Linked DNA regions of Arabidopsis thaliana. The protein of the gene in region 2 interacts with the protein of the main gene of each other region in a pairwise test. Each region holds a gene or a part of one and is shown on either strand. Other genes may lie near its edges. The genes, in order: RVE1, YAB2 and NDL1.

Evidence for each region.
Region 1: the proteins of YAB2 (region 2) and RVE1 interact in a two-hybrid assay, tested with the Arabidopsis thaliana proteins (one large-scale study listed by BioGRID).
Region 3: the proteins of YAB2 (region 2) and NDL1 interact in a two-hybrid assay, tested with the Arabidopsis thaliana proteins (one large-scale study listed by BioGRID).

The regions. Positions count from the first base shown.
Region 1 is NC_003076.8:5,689,726-5,695,247, reverse strand, and holds RVE1 (Homeodomain-like superfamily protein), read left to right. Parts: upstream 1-2,255; 5' UTR 2,256-2,323; coding exon of another isoform or gene 2,324-2,548; 5' UTR 2,549-2,812; coding exon 2,813-2,845; intron 2,846-3,257; coding exon 3,258-3,356; intron 3,357-3,437; coding exon 3,438-3,549; exon of another isoform or gene 3,550-3,616; coding exon of another isoform or gene 3,617-3,635; coding exon 3,636-3,697; intron 3,698-3,859; coding exon 3,860-4,174; intron 4,175-4,270; coding exon 4,271-4,813; 3' UTR 4,814-5,022; downstream 5,023-5,522. Other genes in the region: AT5G17305 (uncharacterized protein), read right to left, coding at 2,324-2,548; autophagy protein Apg5 family, read left to right, coding at 5,427-5,522. UniProt on the Arabidopsis thaliana protein: Morning-phased transcription factor integrating the circadian clock and auxin pathways. Binds to the evening element (EE) of promoters. Does not act within the central clock, but regulates free auxin levels in a time-of-day specific manner.
Region 2 is NC_003070.9:2,674,081-2,680,909, reverse strand, and holds YAB2 (Plant-specific transcription factor YABBY family protein), read right to left. Parts: upstream 5,098-6,829; 5' UTR 4,878-5,097; coding exon 4,809-4,877; intron 2,808-4,808; coding exon 2,676-2,807; intron 2,591-2,675; coding exon 2,470-2,590; intron 2,357-2,469; coding exon 2,308-2,356; intron 2,232-2,307; coding exon 2,156-2,231; intron 1,636-2,155; coding exon 1,528-1,635; 3' UTR 1,086-1,527; downstream 1-1,085. Other genes in the region: HDA08 (histone deacetylase 8), read right to left, coding at 6,441-6,743. UniProt on the Arabidopsis thaliana protein: Involved in the abaxial cell fate determination during embryogenesis and organogenesis.
Region 3 is NC_003076.8:22,955,305-22,961,522, reverse strand, and holds NDL1 (N-MYC downregulated-like 1), read right to left. Parts: upstream 3,895-6,218; 5' UTR 3,538-3,894; coding exon 3,478-3,537; intron 3,015-3,477; exon of another isoform or gene 2,717-3,014; coding exon of another isoform or gene 2,714-2,716; intron 2,633-2,713; coding exon 2,533-2,632; intron 2,459-2,532; coding exon 2,361-2,458; intron 2,271-2,360; coding exon 2,182-2,270; intron 2,098-2,181; coding exon 2,037-2,097; intron 1,946-2,036; coding exon 1,781-1,945; intron 1,689-1,780; coding exon 1,632-1,688; intron 1,535-1,631; coding exon 1,479-1,534; intron 1,368-1,478; coding exon 1,232-1,367; intron 1,136-1,231; coding exon 917-1,135; 3' UTR 607-916; downstream 1-606. Other genes in the region: SERAT1;1 (serine acetyltransferase 1;1), read left to right, coding at 1-25; HAG2 (histone acetyltransferase of the GNAT family 2), read left to right, coding at 5,946-6,024, 6,130-6,171. UniProt on the Arabidopsis thaliana protein: Interacts with the heterotrimeric G protein beta subunit GB1 and plays an significant role in GB1-dependent regulation of lateral root formation. Involved in a signaling pathway that modulates root auxin transport and auxin gradients.

The DNA.
Region 1 (5,522 bases), on a different chromosome or scaffold from region 2:
CCTGAATTGTTATCTGTTATTTTATCTTTTTCACGTCTTACGCCTCCTAAATCCTAATCGCTTAAATATTTTTTGAACATGTTCTCATCTGTTTTTAAAAAATTTGGATTTTCTTTTCACTAATGATTGTTACATTAGATAAATGTGATTTCCACTACAGGTTTGGATTTTATTGCATTAGAAAATATGGTAATAACAAATATTTTTATAAGAGATGACAAAAACAAATACTCTAAGTAGACAACAGCCACACACCAACCACTTTCTGATATTTGAAACCCTAAGTAAAGAACGAGAAGGAATTCTTGTGGCTGAGAAATTTTGTTGTATTATCAGTGAACGTGAATAAAATGAATAAGAAACAAATAAAAAGAAAACTAGTGGCTAGAACCCTCCTTCTCGTCATTCCACATGTCAAGTTTCTGTAGAACAGACGGCTAAAATAAGAATCAGTGACATGGAGAAAAGTGCACTGACATTCACTAATTATTAGTATTAGTACTATATTATAAATTAAAGTGTAATTACTTTCACTTCCACCGAGGATGACTTTTACAATTTGAGGAGTATATTAAATTATGTGCTTAACAATGATTTCAATAAAATATCTACACATTTGTGAAAATTGATGACGACCTGGACGATGGATAATCATATTAATTCGAGAAAGTTGAAACTAATTATAAATATCATAGATAGATTCGTATCTGTATATATTATATTATATGGTATGTATACGTAGACTTACGTTATGGATAGACCCCCACCATGTTTTTATATAGAGGCAGAAGATATTTAACTTATGGTTTTCGTTTTTTCGTAAAATATGAAACAAAGACAACGACAAAACGAAAAAGAACCAAAAATAGTATCTCATTCTACTTTCACTTGATTTTGGAATTTCATTTATTTAGATTGTGATTCAAAACCATTTCAACTATGTAAAATTCTGTGCAATATTTTTCCCAACTAAACATATAAGTTTGACATGAAAAAGAATATAGGAAAATTTAGAGGTCCAAATTTTATATGTATATCGGAATCATGGTAGGATACGTTATCAATTGCATTTGTATGAGGCTTGCTATTGCTAGTATAGAAGCATCATCAACAAATCTTAATATCAGTCCAAATTTGAATAACCCATTTTGTGGATCTCATTTCATAAAATAAACCATTTTAGTGTCCTGCAAAAATGTGTTTAGACAGAAATCTTTTTTAAAATCTGAATTTAGATATTATGATGGTTATAATTTATATATAAATTTACTATCAAATATTGTGTTCATATATGGAAGAATGGAGAAAAAAGAGTAGAACCCCACAAAATAAAAAATGGATAGACTATGTTTTCTAAGATTGGACAAAGTGTATAATAAAATCTTCTGATCTGGTCCAAAAATAAAATGTTAAGAGTTTTCGAATTCGAATAATTTGATTTTGATTAAGATATCCACTTCGGATATGTTTTCATATGTAGCTTTTTAAAATACCCTAATAAATATTTTCATAAAGAGTTTATGTAAATAAATCAAAATATATTTTTAACTTTTTATTTATTATAGTTTTATATATTACTGTTTTAATTATTTTGAAGTATTTTTGATAGATATGGATTTGGATGGTTCCGCAAACAAATCCTATGGATCCGGATCCAAAGAACCAATCATAAATTTTGGAATATGTCCACCCATATATGGATCAATAGAGATATAGTTAAGAAAAGAAAATGAATTTATCCCGCAAATTTACATTTTTATCTCATGTAGTGGAACCAATGAAAAGCGAGTAAGCTAAGAAGTCATACTCTCGAGAGTACGCCTTTCCATATTTTCCTTTAAAAGTATCTTCTGGTGGCTCACATTTCTCCGTCCAGCAAAATCTTTTTTGTTACATAAATATTATATTTCCTGATATTTTATATTAAAAGATTATCCAATTGAAATGATGTCAAAAAAGGAAAGGAAAAGTAGGGGAATTAAATAAATACATACAGTGATAATCGAAGTACCAAATCTAACTGTTTTAAAACAAGTAGATTCATTTTAAAAAATTAAATATTTGATTTTTCAAAGAGATAAATGAATAAATCTAGTACAAATTTTGTTGCAAAAAAAGAAGATGAAGAATATGAGAAAGAGCGACACGTGGCAAAGATGGACATTGAACGTGAGCCACAAGATTTTCCATCTGTTTCTCGAGCGTTCCATGGAAAACCAATAAGAATTATTATTTTTATTTTTTAAAAATTGGGAAAAAGCGCACATAGCAGAAGCTGACGTGGCATCACCCTCCTTTTTGTCTTCCCTATTTTCTCACCCCCCTAATTCCCTTCTTCCTCCTTCACAGACCCCAAACTCTTCTCTTCTTCTTCTTTCTCTCTGTTTTCTTCTTCTTCCGCCGAATCAGAAAGCTTGTCTTTTTCTTTACTCCGGCTACCAAAACTTCTCGGAGTTTCTCTGAGAGTTTCATTTCCGACCTTCTTCTTATCCTTATTTGCGGCAAGATTTCCAGCGAGAGTTTTTTTCTCTTTTCCTTTATCGAACATAAGAAATCTCTGGTTTGCTGGAAGTTTTTTTTCCGGAAGGTGGAAGCTTAGATTGGTTCTGATTTCAGAAGCAAATCGTTTGTTGTTGCCTAAGTAAACCGAATCAATTTATGGGATCTATAGAAACAGACGGAGAACAGAGGAAATTAAGCTGATTTTTTCAAGTCTAGATTCGCGAATTTATCTTGGTGTTTCCTTTTCTGTGTTCCACACCTTTCGAGTTTTTTTTTGTTTTCCTCCGCCGAGATCTTAATCCGGGAAGTTATGGCGTCGTCTCCGTTGACTGCAAATGTTCAGGTCTGGTCTCAAAATTTGATTTTTATCCACTTTTTTTGTTTTGTTTCTGCTTTATTCAGGTCTGGTCTCAAATGAATCTATGAGTTTAAAATACTGTATACGGACATTTAAGTAATAAAGCTTAGAGTTAAAGCAAGTTCGTTGCAATTCATTTGCAGACTCTTGTTTCTTTTGAGCTATAAGTTCTCTCTAGATTTGTGTGTTGCAACTACATTCATTTGAATCCTTGAGATGGAATCGACTGTGTTGGAATTTTGTGATTAGGATATGTAAATCGAGTTTAATTAGTTGGACTTTGTGAATGAATGTTCATTGAGAAACTGAAGAAGAAAGTAAATAATCCAATGCCACTTTGTGTCATAGTCCTTAAAATGATGTTTCCTAAAGTCGTTTTGCTTGATGATGGCTTTAGGGTACCAACGCTTCTTTGAGGAATAGAGATGAAGAAACTGCAGACAAGCAGATACAATTCAATGACCAAAGTTTTGGGGGAAATGACTATGCACCCAAGGTTTGTTTCTTTTAACATCAAATGTCAAATATTGTTATGTAAAGTGAAGATCTGTGGCTCAGTTCATCTTTTCTTACTTAGGTACGGAAGCCATACACGATAACAAAAGAGAGAGAGAGATGGACAGATGAAGAGCACAAGAAGTTTGTTGAAGCCTTGAAATTATACGGGCGAGCTTGGAGACGAATAGAAGGTAAATTAATGATTTAGTAATATCTCTTGCTACTGAGTTATGGCCTTACCTGGACCCTCAAAAATATATGTTTGTTTCACTAACAGAACATGTGGGCTCAAAGACCGCAGTTCAGATTCGAAGCCATGCTCAGAAGTTTTTCTCTAAGGTTTATACACTTATTTGCTATTATATCTTTACCCTTGTTCAAAGAAAGTATCAGTCTAATCTCTGTAGCAAACCTAAGTTCTGCATAAATAAGGAATCATTATACATACATTGTTTGGAGACTTGTGTTCTGACTTGGCTTTGTTCTGTTGTATTCACACAGGTTGCTCGAGAAGCAACTGGAGGTGATGGGAGCTCAGTAGAGCCGATTGTAATACCTCCTCCTCGTCCCAAGAGAAAGCCAGCGCATCCGTACCCTCGTAAGTTTGGGAACGAGGCAGATCAAACAAGTAGATCGGTTTCTCCCTCAGAACGTGATACTCAATCTCCAACCTCTGTGTTGTCCACTGTTGGATCAGAAGCATTGTGTTCCCTTGATTCGAGTTCACCCAATCGAAGCTTGTCCCCAGTTTCTTCTGCATCACCACCAGCTGCTCTTACAACCACTGCAAATGCACCTGAAGAGCTTGAGACTCTGGTACTTGACATAAACAAAACCGAATTTATACTTAACAGCAATACCTGCTGTTAGATGCTTAATGCTTAATATTCTTGGTTTAATCAATTTGTACAGAAGCTGGAGTTGTTTCCTAGTGAGAGACTCTTAAACAGGGAGAGCTCGATCAAGGAACCAACGAAGCAAAGTCTTAAACTCTTTGGGAAGACAGTTTTGGTATCTGATTCAGGCATGTCCTCTTCTCTAACAACTTCAACATATTGTAAATCCCCAATTCAGCCATTACCACGGAAACTCTCATCATCCAAGACACTACCCATAATAAGAAACTCACAAGAAGAACTCTTGAGCTGCTGGATACAAGTCCCTCTTAAGCAAGAAGATGTGGAAAATAGATGTTTGGATTCAGGAAAGGCTGTCCAAAACGAAGGATCATCGACTGGATCAAACACTGGTTCGGTGGATGATACGGGACACACGGAAAAGACCACAGAACCCGAAACAATGCTATGTCAATGGGAGTTTAAACCAAGTGAGAGGTCTGCATTTTCTGAGCTCAGAAGAACAAACTCCGAGTCAAATTCAAGAGGATTTGGTCCATACAAGAAGAGAAAGATGGTAACAGAAGAAGAAGAGCATGAGATTCATCTCCACTTATAACACATTTTCTTACGTACCCTAAAGAAGAGACTTTAAATTTACTATTCATTCGACTTTCTAAGTTTTCATCAATGTAATTTTTGTTGTTGTTTCATTGTTTTCTCTTGAGGTGTTTGTTCTCTAGGCTAAAATTTTCTGCAAAAGTTTGTAACTGTAAAACTCGTGTACAATTTATACAGTTAAATCTAATGATTATGAGATCTTTCTTAATTGATGGTTCAACAAAAGCAAGTTTCAGGTGTCTCTCTTCAATATCTCCGATTAAATTAGGTTTGGTAAAGAGTTTGCTTTGAAATGAAGGCAAAGAAGAAAAACAGTGAGGTTACCACCAACTGAACAAGTGTGTGTTCAAAGTTCAAACCCAACAAATAACCGAACCGATTCGGAAACCAACTCTAACCTGAAATTTTGATAGAATTTGACCAGACCAAATTAGACCGGTTAACACCCTTTCACGTTAGCCACCAACAGATTAAGCAGTGTCTAACGTACGCCTTATTAATACCACATAAAGACGCAAGAGAAGATGACGTCATACAGAAACAGCGTCGTTTTGAAAGCTGAGTTTTTTTTGTGAAGCGAGCGAGCGTGAGAAGGTGTGACGGGGAAGAGAATGGCGAAGGAAGCGGTCAAGTATGTATGGGAAGGAGCAATTCCTCTGCAGATTCATCTCCACAAATCCGACGTCGCTTCTCACCCTGCTCCTCCT
Region 2 (6,829 bases):
TCACACATTGGAGACGACCCCACTTCTCTAACCCTTCGTCGGGAGTGGTGGATATACGATCTCTACGAGATGCTTATCATTAAACATAGCCACCAGCTGCGGAGTTAGTGTCCATTTTGGACAAATAGAAAATGAAGTTATAATTAGTACGTAATACTGAATAGAAATTTGATGTTGACGTGAAAACTATAGTGATTGCTATTTGGTCTAAATGCTTGAGTCATTTTTTCCAAAGTGGCATTCTTTTAGCAAAAGTTGACCACAGCTATACAACAAAATATCTATAGCATTACTTTTATAATTGCTATTCTGCATTACATTTAATCAAAAGAGACAACGTTTTTCTTATAATATTCAGTAGTCACTTAAAAGAGTTCATATACGATAATATTTTATCTTTTAAGAGAATGCATGGTTTATGTAGACCACATACTACAAAAGTTTCACAAAACGAGTATGCGTTGACAAAGTCAAATCGCCCATGTTATTAAAACAACCCATGGTTTCGATTCGAATCTTGATAACGATCACTGCAAATTAATACACGACCGAACTGGTAGTTATATATCATAGACAAATAATAGCTCATTATGTACCATTTTTCCCCCATAAAAATGTGCCTACCGTCGAGAAAAAATTATATTTTTGTCAAATTCGCATCATTGATGTAAAACGGTATCGACCAAAACTAGACCGTCCCGTTTCACGCTGCTTATGATTTTCTTTGAAATAGTGAGCCGATCAGCAGCATAAAAGTGTGACATATTATTAATCATGATACTCAACCGGATTATGAGTTTTGTGGCTGACAAGAGAAGACACGAGCATTGATTTCTCATTGATTAAAAAAAAAGTATTAAAAACAACCCAAGTGAACTATTCATTGGAAGCCTTTGCTTTTTGCAAAGAATGTTTCTTTGGAATGAGTGAGTTTCAGAATTATCTCAGCACCATAAAAGTTACCATTTTATATCCCAAGATGGAATTTATATATCTTTTACTACTCACTCTATGTATATACATGTGCTTCTATGTATACACAAACTCTATATATCCATGAAATTGATAAAGAATCAATCAATTTCCACATACATCCCCCTTTAACCTCAGGTATTATCAACAATAATTACCATAAAACTAGGGATTATATATATAAAGTCGTGACCACACCTTTTCAGAATGAGTAAAGTTGAAATTTATATTACAATCTTCAGAAAGAAGATTCTTCCTAAACATTTTAGGTTCAAATTTATAGACTTCACTTATTAGGAGAATAAAACTAGAAATGAAGTTATAGATGAAGCACACGCAAGAAAAAAGAAAGGAACATATATACATACATGTATATATATGTAACGTTATATGATCTTCTTCTTCCTCGCCTGATCTCTTTCCATCATCAGCTCTCTGCTTACACATTCATTAATGCGTACGTACAAAGATAAACATAAATCATACACACGCATATATATCTATACACATATATATACGTATAAGTGTATATATGTGTGTATATATATAAAGGCTTTAGTAATAGCCATTAGACTTTTGGCCTGCAACTGACTGGTCTAATTGCTTGCCTTTCTTGTTGCCATCCAGCTTTAATCCAAAGTGAATGTGAGGAAAATGTGCCCACTACACCCAAAAATTGAAAGGCAAATTTATTTTTAAAAAACATCTAATACTGTGATATATAAACATTCCACCAATTATAAATAGTAGAACCACTATCTTATTGGTATACATACACACTTATATTTTCAAAGAGAGTGACCAAGCCCTAGAATTCTCCCACCACAGTTATTTCAATTAGTTGGTACTAATTATTGCAAACAAAAAAAACTACTATCCAATCATGTGTTCGTATATCATTTTTTATTTATTTACTTGTTAGGTTATTTAAAAAGATAATAATTTATTTTATTTTTTAAATAGTTAAGAAATACATTTTACAGAGTTATTGAATCTAAAAATACAGTATTAAAAGACTTTATAACTTTAGTTATTTTTTTTTTTCATTTTTTTTTGCATCTTCTTCCTAATTCTATATAATTCTGACATCGTCGATGAAGCTACGATAAGGATTTTTTTTTTTTTTGAGCTATCTTAGCAACAATCTACCTTGTGAAAAAGAATGGTAAAGAAGGAAGCTTACATTTTTAGCAGCAGTGCTAAATGCCTCACGGTGGCTAATCTCTGGATTGCAAGCCTTAATCCTTTGGATTTCCTCCCTAATTAACAATTTAGTTTATTAAAGTTGTAGCGAAAGAGTTAATTAGTATATTTCATCAAAGGATTAACACTTACTTGATGAATCTGTTGTAGGCCGAAGGAACACGTTGTCTTTTCTCCGGTGCTGCCACATGAAAATAAAAGAAAATTATGGACTCACTTAGCTTGGTGATTGCATATATTACACAAACTTTAAATACTATGTACGGAATGCAAGAGGTAAATAGAGAGACATACGGCGAATAGGAGGCATTCTAGGAGCCTCACGATCAATGTTTTCCGATAAATTGTTGGTGCTCCTAGAAGACGATGCACAATCTTTCCTTGTCACCAGAGAGGTTGTGTGCTGTCTATGAGGCTTCATGATTTCAAAAACTATATAAGCCAGATTTCTAAATGGGAATAATAAAAATGTTGAAGGACTAATGAATATAATATGATACCTGAAGATCTTGGTGAATGGGAGGAGCTGAGGTTTGATGAAGTGAAACTCCAATGTTGAGGGATAGCAAATTGGTACAATGGCCACATCTCACCGTCACAAGTGTGAACAAACTTGCGTATGGTACACTTACCTAATCATTCATACATGTCTTGATCATTATAAGGGACACGTTAATTGTCTTGTTTTATCACTATTTTATAATTCGAGTGGCTGGTCTCTAATGTAACGAGAGCTCTTGAGAGAGAATGTTAAGTACTACTCCATTATAGGCTATAGCACACCTTGTTTTTGGTTAATTGTAGATTTCCTATTTCCTATGTAAAGATAGTCCTATAGATTTTTATCACATGAAATAGAAAATAGTAACCTTATAGAAGTATTACCACAACTAATATTCGAACAAACAAATGATCAAATTTAACATATATAAAAGAATATGTATTTTTCTGTTTGGTGGGTTCTGATGAATTCTATGTCTGACACACAAGACCTCAAGGCAACATGATAAAAGATAGTAAAGAGATGAAGAATGGTTGATGAAGCTTGTAAGGAGAAGACAGTCATGTTAGAAAACGACGTGACCTTAACAACAGCCCATAAAGTCCTTCATATGTGATGGTACCATCTTTTTATTATAATCGTCTTATATTTTTGTGTGTGAGCGAGAGAGAGAGAGAGAGAGAAAGGATCCAATCCTAAGTGGTCAAGATCGGCCATGATTTAACAGTTTGCAGCTTTTGTATAGATCAAGAAATTGTTGCTGGAACTGGGTAGAACAAATCTTTTGTACTTTCCACTACAATACACACCCTATTTTGTGCAAGAAGACCTCTAACATTTTTATTAAATATGGCCCTTTTTGTTCCTAATCAGACTCGTGCGACATCTCCATTATTTATGTATATGTAGTATAACGTTTATGAATAATATCAGTGTACAAGAGTTTCTCATGATAAACTTTTTTTTTTTTAATTTGTCTAAACGCTAAACCATTAAGCTACATAACCTAGCTAGTTAGTTTCTCATGATTACTTAATTATATGGATCATAGATCAATAATTTATATACACACACATATAGATAGACGTATATCACTGATACACACATATCAAAAATGTACGGAAGAACTGTGGATATTATTAAATGTCACATAAAACCGTTAGATAAAGCTGGAGATAATTAGTGAAGTTTTAAGTAAATTTTAAAATCATATACATGTAATAAAATAGCTTCAGCACACTGTGAGAAACATAAAAAGAGAATTTTGGAGAACCCAAAAAATGATTTTAAAATAATCAGCTGGTGATGTGATGTAAACATTTTTACATGGACCACGCTTGTAGATGAAAGATCTATGATTGATATGATATAAGTATAATACATGTGTCACATACTACAGTTATACATATCAAAAGATTAGATAGTATGAAGTCAGACTATAAAGGTGGAAGACCCTAGTGAAAGTTTAATTTTGAGACTGCATCACATGGATGCTATCTACCAAATTCCTTTTACAGAAAATATTAATGGCTGTTGAAACTTAGGGAACTAACACCAAAGAAAATATGAATATACAAGAGTAAAAAATGAAGGATTTACTTGTAAAGAGAAGAAGAAAAAATGTCCTTAAAACGAAAATAAAAATAAAAATTCTTTAAATAGTAAAAATAGGGAAAGAAGAAGTTATCTTTGTAGACTTAAAACCTACTCATAGAGCCCTAAATCTGATCAGGAGCTGTTTCCTTTGAGTTTACTTTGTTTGAGCACTAAAATTTATGTTTCAACTACCGAACTTCTTTTGCTTCTTTTAGGTATCTCATCACGCGTTATAGAAGAAAAAAAAGGAATAAGATTTAGGGTTTCTGAAATTTAAGAAACTTTCCGGTATATATATCTTCATCAATAATTAATCACAGAAAAGATATATGTTGATCTATGAACTAGATGCAAAATTCATCATGCAATACACATATAGATATATCACCAACCATCTTTGATAGGTAAATAATATATATCTTATATAACAGTTTGATTTAAGTTAGAGAAAAGGGGATCTAGCTCAGAGTAAGTACCAAATTAACACTCTTTCTTTTGAGAAAGATTTACAATATAAAGAGGAGAGGGAGATTACCGCTAAAATCGTGGTGCAGAAGCTGCAGTGGACATAGCAAACACGCTCAGATGAGAAATCTACAGACATTTTTTTTTGTGTGGGTTCTCTCTTCAATGATATGTTTCTCTTCTTGAAACTTTTAGTTATCCCAATGAGATCAAAGAAGGAACTATTTGATTTTGGAAGAATAAAATAAAAAGAAAAGGGCAAGCAAAGAAGAAAGAGGAAGGATGAGAGAGAGAGAGAGAGATGGGTGGGGGATGAAGGAAGTGTACAAAAAATCTGAAAAGACTAATGTGGTTTATTTGGAGACGAAGAGAGACAAGTGGGGACTATACTACAATGTTCCTCTTTTTTATTTTTCGGTACTTGCATTTTTTTTTCCTTAGATAATTAGAGAGTTCTATTACTCCATAATAAAGTGAAGATTTCCCTTTGTTATTTTTATTGTTTTTTCATCTTTAGTTAAGATATATAGTCCTATCACCAAATAAGTTAATTTCAATTACATTTTTATAGGATAAGTAGTAGGCTAGTAGCTCAATATATAATCTTATTGTTACAGTCATTTTACAATGAATAGTACTAGATCATGAGAATGTGTATTGTATTTGTCTAGCAGATAAGAAATGAGATTAACAGTTCGATTAAATTTTGTTTTTTCAAACACATATCTGAAAACGATACATGGACTTTGTTAGCAGCAACAGTAAATTTAGTAAAACGATACAGTTTGTGAATTCAGGGACAATTGAAAACGATACATAATCCTCTTCAGAATCAAATAAAACATATTGCAAGTGACAATGATGGTCTATTTTGTGAATAAGTGATTAACAGTATAAAACGAAAGATGAATTCATTTTGGCATTTTCTGCAAACTTAAACATGTTCATTGGATTGGTGTAATTACTTGAAATTGAGTTTTTAAAGTTCATTAAAATCCCATTCATTCTGCAAGTGAACATAGATGTACATTTTAGATTGAGTGTGGATCAACAAAACGACATTTATTACTGGTTTAATTTTTAATAATTTATTTCATAATATAGATGTTTCATTGTTTTGTATTTGTATTTGTATTTGCAATGCAATTTCCTATTTTGTCTTTATTAACCTTTTACCAAAAATAAAATAAAAAATAAAGCGAATAAACTAATTGAACACATCTAAAGTATTTGGAATCAATGCAACAAACATTTCTTACAAAATGATTCATATAAACAAGTTTCTTTCGAACAAATCATAGAGACGAGAATACAGATCTTATCCTGACATATTTCCACGATCGAGGTTGACATGCATTTTTTACGGACCCGCGAGCTATTCTCTCTACAGTGATACTCACGACAATGCCAATCTTATTTCCAAGCTTGATTTGATTGTATCTGGAATATATTTATAAAATCTCTTTCTGCAAAATTATTATTCTGTCACAAAAAATTTGGGTTCTTCTAGTCTAAACCTAACTAGTTGTTAAAAAAAAACTCAAAAAACAAAGTCGGATCGTGTGAATAAGTTTTCATACAAAAGATAGTTTGATCAACAAGTATTTTGATATATACGGTTTGACCTGATTGATTTGGATCTGTGTTCCAAAAGGTCACAAGACAACGAGGAATAACATAAACTCATTCATACGTCCCATTTTCAAGTTCCTCTGAGAAATGGAACAAATTCGGTGTGATATGTTTTGATTGACTCCACAGCAGCAACAGCATTAGCTTCTTCTTCGGGATAATAAGCGATCGGATCAGATAGATGCGGTTCTGGAATCTTCAGCACCCCTTCGAGCATGGCGTGGAGGCAGTAAGCTGCATATGTTACATGATACCCGCCTTCTTGCACCATAAGCAACCTTCCATGGCTGTGCTCCTCTGCAACTCCCCTCATTATCTGCCCAATCCTTCTGTATCCATTCATTGTCAGGCTTTGTCTCCCGTTTGGATCAAACTGCAGATCCGACAGTAAATAGTGGTTATCCGTCAGTCCATGACATTCAAATCCCCTCACAAACTAGACAATCAGCATCCCTAGCA
Region 3 (6,218 bases), on a different chromosome or scaffold from region 2:
GGAATGGTCAGATTACATCATATAAAGTTGTTGTTATAATTGTTTCTGTGGTTTTGAAAGTGAAAAACTTTCTGACCATTCGCTTATAGAGAGGTGCTGAGGTAAGTGAGCTTTGTTGTATTTGTAATTTACAAAACATCTTACGATGTTCAATACAAGAAATGGCCTTAATTTGATGTTATTATTCAATCATTAGTTATCCAAGAGTTTATACACTTCTTCTACTTTGTATTCGGGTTTGGCTCGGATTTACACTTGTCTGCATCCATTTTACGGGCTTGACAAACATCGAGGAGCATTGAACTTGTTCAGACTAAGTGAAGCATTCTTCGCCTTTACCCCGGTTCATGAGGGACTATGTTTTCGTCAACCGCAACTAATCCTTATGCGTATCTTATATCAGTATATAACTTACGGCTTCTGCAAAGAAGGATTGGTCTCCATTTCCATTTACAATTCAATTCAGACTAAAAAGTTTCAATCTGATGATCCAAATAGTTCAGGATCAAGACTGTTAAACCATTAAATATCAATATTAAGCAAAAACCAGATTCTAACTTGGTGAAATCAATGTGCTTGTAAGGCCAATTAGAGAACCAAAAACAAAATGCAAAATGAATTTTATTACTTGCTTCTGCAGAGTTCGTCACAAAACAATTGTTACAATGTCACAAGAACAGAACATTTTACATATGTATAAAAAAATGAAATAATAAACAACATTTTGTGGCATCTTAACAAGAGAACTGTCGTGTCGGCTGACTACAAAAGAATGTGTTATATGATGGTGGCTTGAATTTTTCTTCTTCGTCTTCTTCTTCTCAAATCTCCCTAGTATTGTTCTATATCTACAAAAGCCCTAAGATTTCTTCTCCTCAGCAAAATTAGAACCAATGAATCAGTAGTGCACACACACTTAAGCCGCCGAAATTCTGGTTTTGATAGGCTTAAGCTTTAATCCCATGCTTTCAGGAGAGAGAAGCTCAGGTGAAATACAAGAAGGGCTAAGTGGACTTCTAGGGCTCTCGGAGAAAAGAGATGGTCTGTATAATCCGTAACCCATCAAGAAATATTCCATTGGGATCAACATTGCATGTGGTTGCTCCTCTGTTACCATTGAACCACAAGCCTGAACCTGATAATATTTCCAAGAAAACATCTATTAGTAGCAAGAAAACCAAACATGTGTTTATATGTAAAGTACAAAGGATGAGGATTCGTTTTCTCAAACCTCAACCAAAGCACAGTATCCTCTATCCAAAGTTGCTGCCATGTGAACAGCTTCTGAGTAGAAAGGAGATTGATCTCCGATGAAGATAAGTGTCCTGCATTTTAGTTTCTTCAATCCACTTGAGATGTCAGGTCTCCTGCAAGAGCAAAGGTTTGGTTTGCATAAAGTTAAAGAAAAGTCAATATTTGACACCATGAATGAATGAATGCTTCTAAGGTAAAGGATTTCGAGGTGTTTGTTGTGTTACCGGTCAATGGCGTCAAGAAATCGCAAAACGTTTATGCCTTGTCTTTCATCAAGCAGCTGAGACAATCACCAAAAGTGCAAGGTGTGAATCACTGATACAGTAAAATCAATCTATTGATGAAACAGAAAAACAACAGAAGAGATAAACACTGACTCTTCTGCAAGCTTGTGCTATATCTGACTCTGGAATCTCAACGTTACCACGGACTTCCTGTAGCAAGCAGTTGCAACCGGTTTAAATAAGAGAAGTCTGGAAATGCAACAAGTGCAGAGAGAGAGCAATGGTAACTGCAGTGAACACACCTTACTAAAATATCTCTGAAGCAAAAATTCCTTTACCACTCCACACATTCCGTAATAATATAACAAGTTTGTGATAACCTTGTTGTAAAACCATTCAGACCAAGACGGCGCCTTGCATAACGGTGAGACAAGAATCAAACCAAGAACCCGTTCTCTATGTTTCATCTGAAAAGTTTTAAAACATAGAAGAGATGATAAACACAGTATTCTTCTGAAGCAATGGGCAATGAGAAGAGAAAAATAAATAGGAACATACCGCGAATAAGGTGAGGATATAAGCACCTGCAGTCACTCCCATACACATCACAACACCAAGGCTGAACAAAAAGCTTATACATTGTTACCCGAAAAACAAAAGTTGAGAACTTCAATAAGCCAAAAATAAGGGATTCCATCGTTACCCGAAAAAGTTGAGAACTTCAAGGATCTGATCTGCCAAGTTTTCAGCAGAAGGGACTGAATCATTAGGACAAATTGGAGCAGCTCCTAACTGCAAGAAAACAGAGAAGTCATGTGAGTAAGTAATCACGTCAAGCAAAGCATACGGCAAGTTAAAAAAAGAGAAACTAAAATATTGGACCTCATGCCCAGGTGGACTGATATGGTAAATGCAGAAGTTATGAAGCAGCAATGAAGCTGCTTCAGGACAGAAGAATAACCCTTGGAAGCATGACATATCTGAAGAAGAAACAACAAAAACATTAATAAATTTAGCCATTACATTAGTGCCTATAGAGATTCTTTAGCCTTACGGTTTAGGGCTAAATCAGGATAAGTAATCAATGCTGGCTTTTCTCTGTCTCCATAGACAATGACAGACACAACACCACTAGCAGTTTTAACACGATGCTCCTGAACACAAGAAACCAACAAGTTATAACAAAAGTAACGGATCATGAAACCAACAGAAAAAAACTAAACTTTTAACCATACCATTTGTCTACTCCATATTCATAAAACATGTGTTTGTAAACAATGAATCTATTTTCTCGTTAGTAAATGTATACTAAAGATAGGAATATGACAACTGACTTTAGGTGGAAAAGAAATGCTTTGATTAACACACACACAAAAAAGAAAACATCTCTGTTAAAGCTTTTCCATGTGCAGCTTTACTACTTTTAAGGGCAAAAAAACAAAACCAAAAACTTGATCATCAACAACCAAAGAGAAATGGCCTAATTCTAATCATTGTGGTTTTTTTTTAATAAAAAGGGAATGACAGTTTAAAAAAGATGAGCTAATATGAGTCTTAATGAGATAATAAAGAAGCATTAGTCTTATTAAACAAAAGGTTAATGGTAGACAAAAACAGCTGGCATTTTCTTTTCTTTTTTCTATAAGATAAAAAAATCAAAAGGCAATAAGACAAAGAATAAGGAATACAAAATAATAATAAGAAGAAGATATCTTTGAATAGAGAGAAGAAGAAGATCCCAAGAATAATCCCATCTGGAAATGAATCATAATAATAAAAGAAGTTTCACAAATCCACAAGCAAAGAATTTCTCCAAGAACATTTGATTCAAACAAAAGATGAGTCTTTTTTTTACAAAAACAAATGAATCTAACAATGCCCACATGTCTGTTCTTCCCCAAATCAACAGAAAGATTAGATTTAAGCAAGTTTAAGATAAACCCAGAAACAAAAATCAAAGCTTTATTCGGATCCGAGTTCAAAGGTTAAAGAATGAAACCTTGCCACCAAGATAGATTGTTCCAACGTCGACGGAGACGGCGCCGTAAGAGTCCGTCATTGGCAACAAAAGCTCTTCCGCTTAGCCGTCACCGTCGCCGTCGTTGTTTTAAGAACGCCGGGATAACAAGAGCTTCTTCTCTTTTCTTCTTCTTCTTCTCCCAACCTCTAGATTGTTTTTTGGCTTTTCTTTAGCTTATATACAAAGCGATGCCTTTTCTCTCTCCTCTCTCTTAAGACCTCTCTGGAAAAAGAAACGTTTTTTTTTCGTTTTCCTTTTTTTCTTCTCTTTCGTTTTACTCTCTCTATAAATTTTGCGGTGATTTCTCCATAGACGCCGGTAGTCGTAACATGACACGCGAACGGTCAAAAAACTTAAAATAAGAAACATTTTTAATTTGATTTATTTATAGAAACTTATTTTTGATAAATATTATTAACCAGCTCGAATTTCACCAATAACAGTCGAATACTAATTCGGAAAAATTGCTGTAAATAAATTGGATAATTGTATAAATGTAAACAAATATTAAATGTTGATAATTGGATAAGTAAGGGAGGTGCGAAGTTTTGGTTAACAACAAAATTAACATTAAGCAAACCGAATATAAATTTTTAGAGACTGTTTAGTTTTATTATTAAAAAAAAAAAGAGAAACCAAATTTTCTAAAAATACTATTACATATAAAAAATTATTTTTATGTAATAATATTAAGAACATCAATATTTAATAAACAATTGTATATTTATACTATTCGCAATTTTTTCACTTTGAGTTGGAAAAAATATATCTTAGTAGAAAATTAGAAATGGACTAATCTTAAACCATCAGATAGGCTTTCAAACATATTCCTATCATAAGAAACATGATGAGTAACACCACTATCTATGATCCATGTATTTTGTGATAACACTTGTCTAGAGGACGTTAGAGAACATAGTAACCATAAAGTCGAAGGTGAGAAAGAGATATCATTGAAAGCAAAACTTTGAAGTGACCAAATCTGCTGAGTTAGCTGATAAGACCTTGGCAAATTCGTAATGTGAAATCTAGTATCCAAGTCTTTCCAGATCTCTGCAGCATCATTGAAACGAAGTATACTCTTATAGATCTGCTTTGTAACAGAATTAAGGATCCTAGATTTAACCATACTGTTGCATCGTGACCACACTCTAAAGCTAGGATCAGATTCAGGAGGTCTTGGTAAAGTTCCATCAACAAAAGCAATCTTATTCTTAACGTTCAAAGAAACAAACATCGCAATCTTCCAAGAAGAGAAATTAGATCCATCAAGTACCTCAGAAACAAGTGTATTCCCAGGACTCACCATTTGAGAGCGCGAATGGCGAATAATGAGCATCCGAGAAGTCGAACTGTGGTAAAGGATAGATCGATGGTTTTGAATTGAAATTTTGTTGAAACGGATTCGAAATTGGTGGAATCGGTGGAATCGGTGAAGCTTGAACACGATCTGGAGTTTTCTCAGCTGAAGTTTTGCTCGATCTTCTAGTACGACGCCGCAATTTCTCTACGGAAACCATCGCAAGATCAACGAAGCTCTAAACAACTGAAATTTTCCAGAAAACGTAGAAAATTGAAGAAACAAAGAATCAACGAGTTTGGAAGATCCAAGAGCTCGAAGATACTCAGAGTTTAGGTTGAATCGGATGAATCTTCGAGATCCATCACTCTGATACCATAATAGTTGATGAACGAATTCAGAGAAATGAAGAAGATGAGAAAAATTTGTTATTCTTCTTAATTGTTCTGTTACATGAAACACTCTTTATATGTAGAGTGTTCCGGTTTAGTAACCGGTTTACATTGTACCAAACAACAATACAATAACCGAATTTATGGTTAATATCTTAAGTTAGACCTATTTCAAAACAAGCCTAATTTTCACAATAGTCAATTTTTTGTTGTTGAATATTTGGCCGAGAACTAGACTTCAATAATGGGGAAGAATAACTAAAATCGGTTCTTTCTCCTCTCCCAAAGTCAACTAGATTCACCAAGAATAACTAACTTTGGTTAATGATTACATGTTCTTAAAGTTATGGATCTTTTGGGAAAAATGGACTATTTGGCAAAAAGAGTGGCAAAAAGAGTGTGAACATAAAAAATACAAATGGGGCGTTCCGAGAATCGAACTCGGGACCTCTCGCACCCAAAGCGAGAATCATACCACTAGACCAAACGCCCTCATTTGATATTTCGTTAATTAGATAAATAATACCTAATAATACAAACTTGAATTGGTCTTGCATTTGGGCCGTTAACAGGCCTTGCTAAGTCATATGTGGTGTGTATTTCTCCATCTGCTATTGATCTCAGTAAAAATTACATAAAGAGAGCCACAAGCTTACTGACTCTCTTGTGTATCGCTCTCTCCGCATTTCCATTAACCCTCCAATTTTCCCGCCTTTGTCTCACTCTCTTCCCGCCTTGCACTCGCCGGGGACTCCATGGTTCAGAAGCAGCAAGCCTCCGCCGGTCCGGGTACCGAGCCTAAGAAGCGTCGCCGTGTCGGATTTTCTCCCGCCGGTGAGTCATTTCTTCTTCTTGTTTGTTTTCCTTTACTCGCGATTACCACTTTCCCAGCTCCGATTTCGTATTTTTCTTTAATCCGTTGATTTTTCTTATGTGCAGATACTGGTGTCGAGGCTAACGAGTGCATCAAAATTTATCTCGGTGCGTATTTGATTTAAATCATTTGAAGTTGATTTTGGGGATATAGT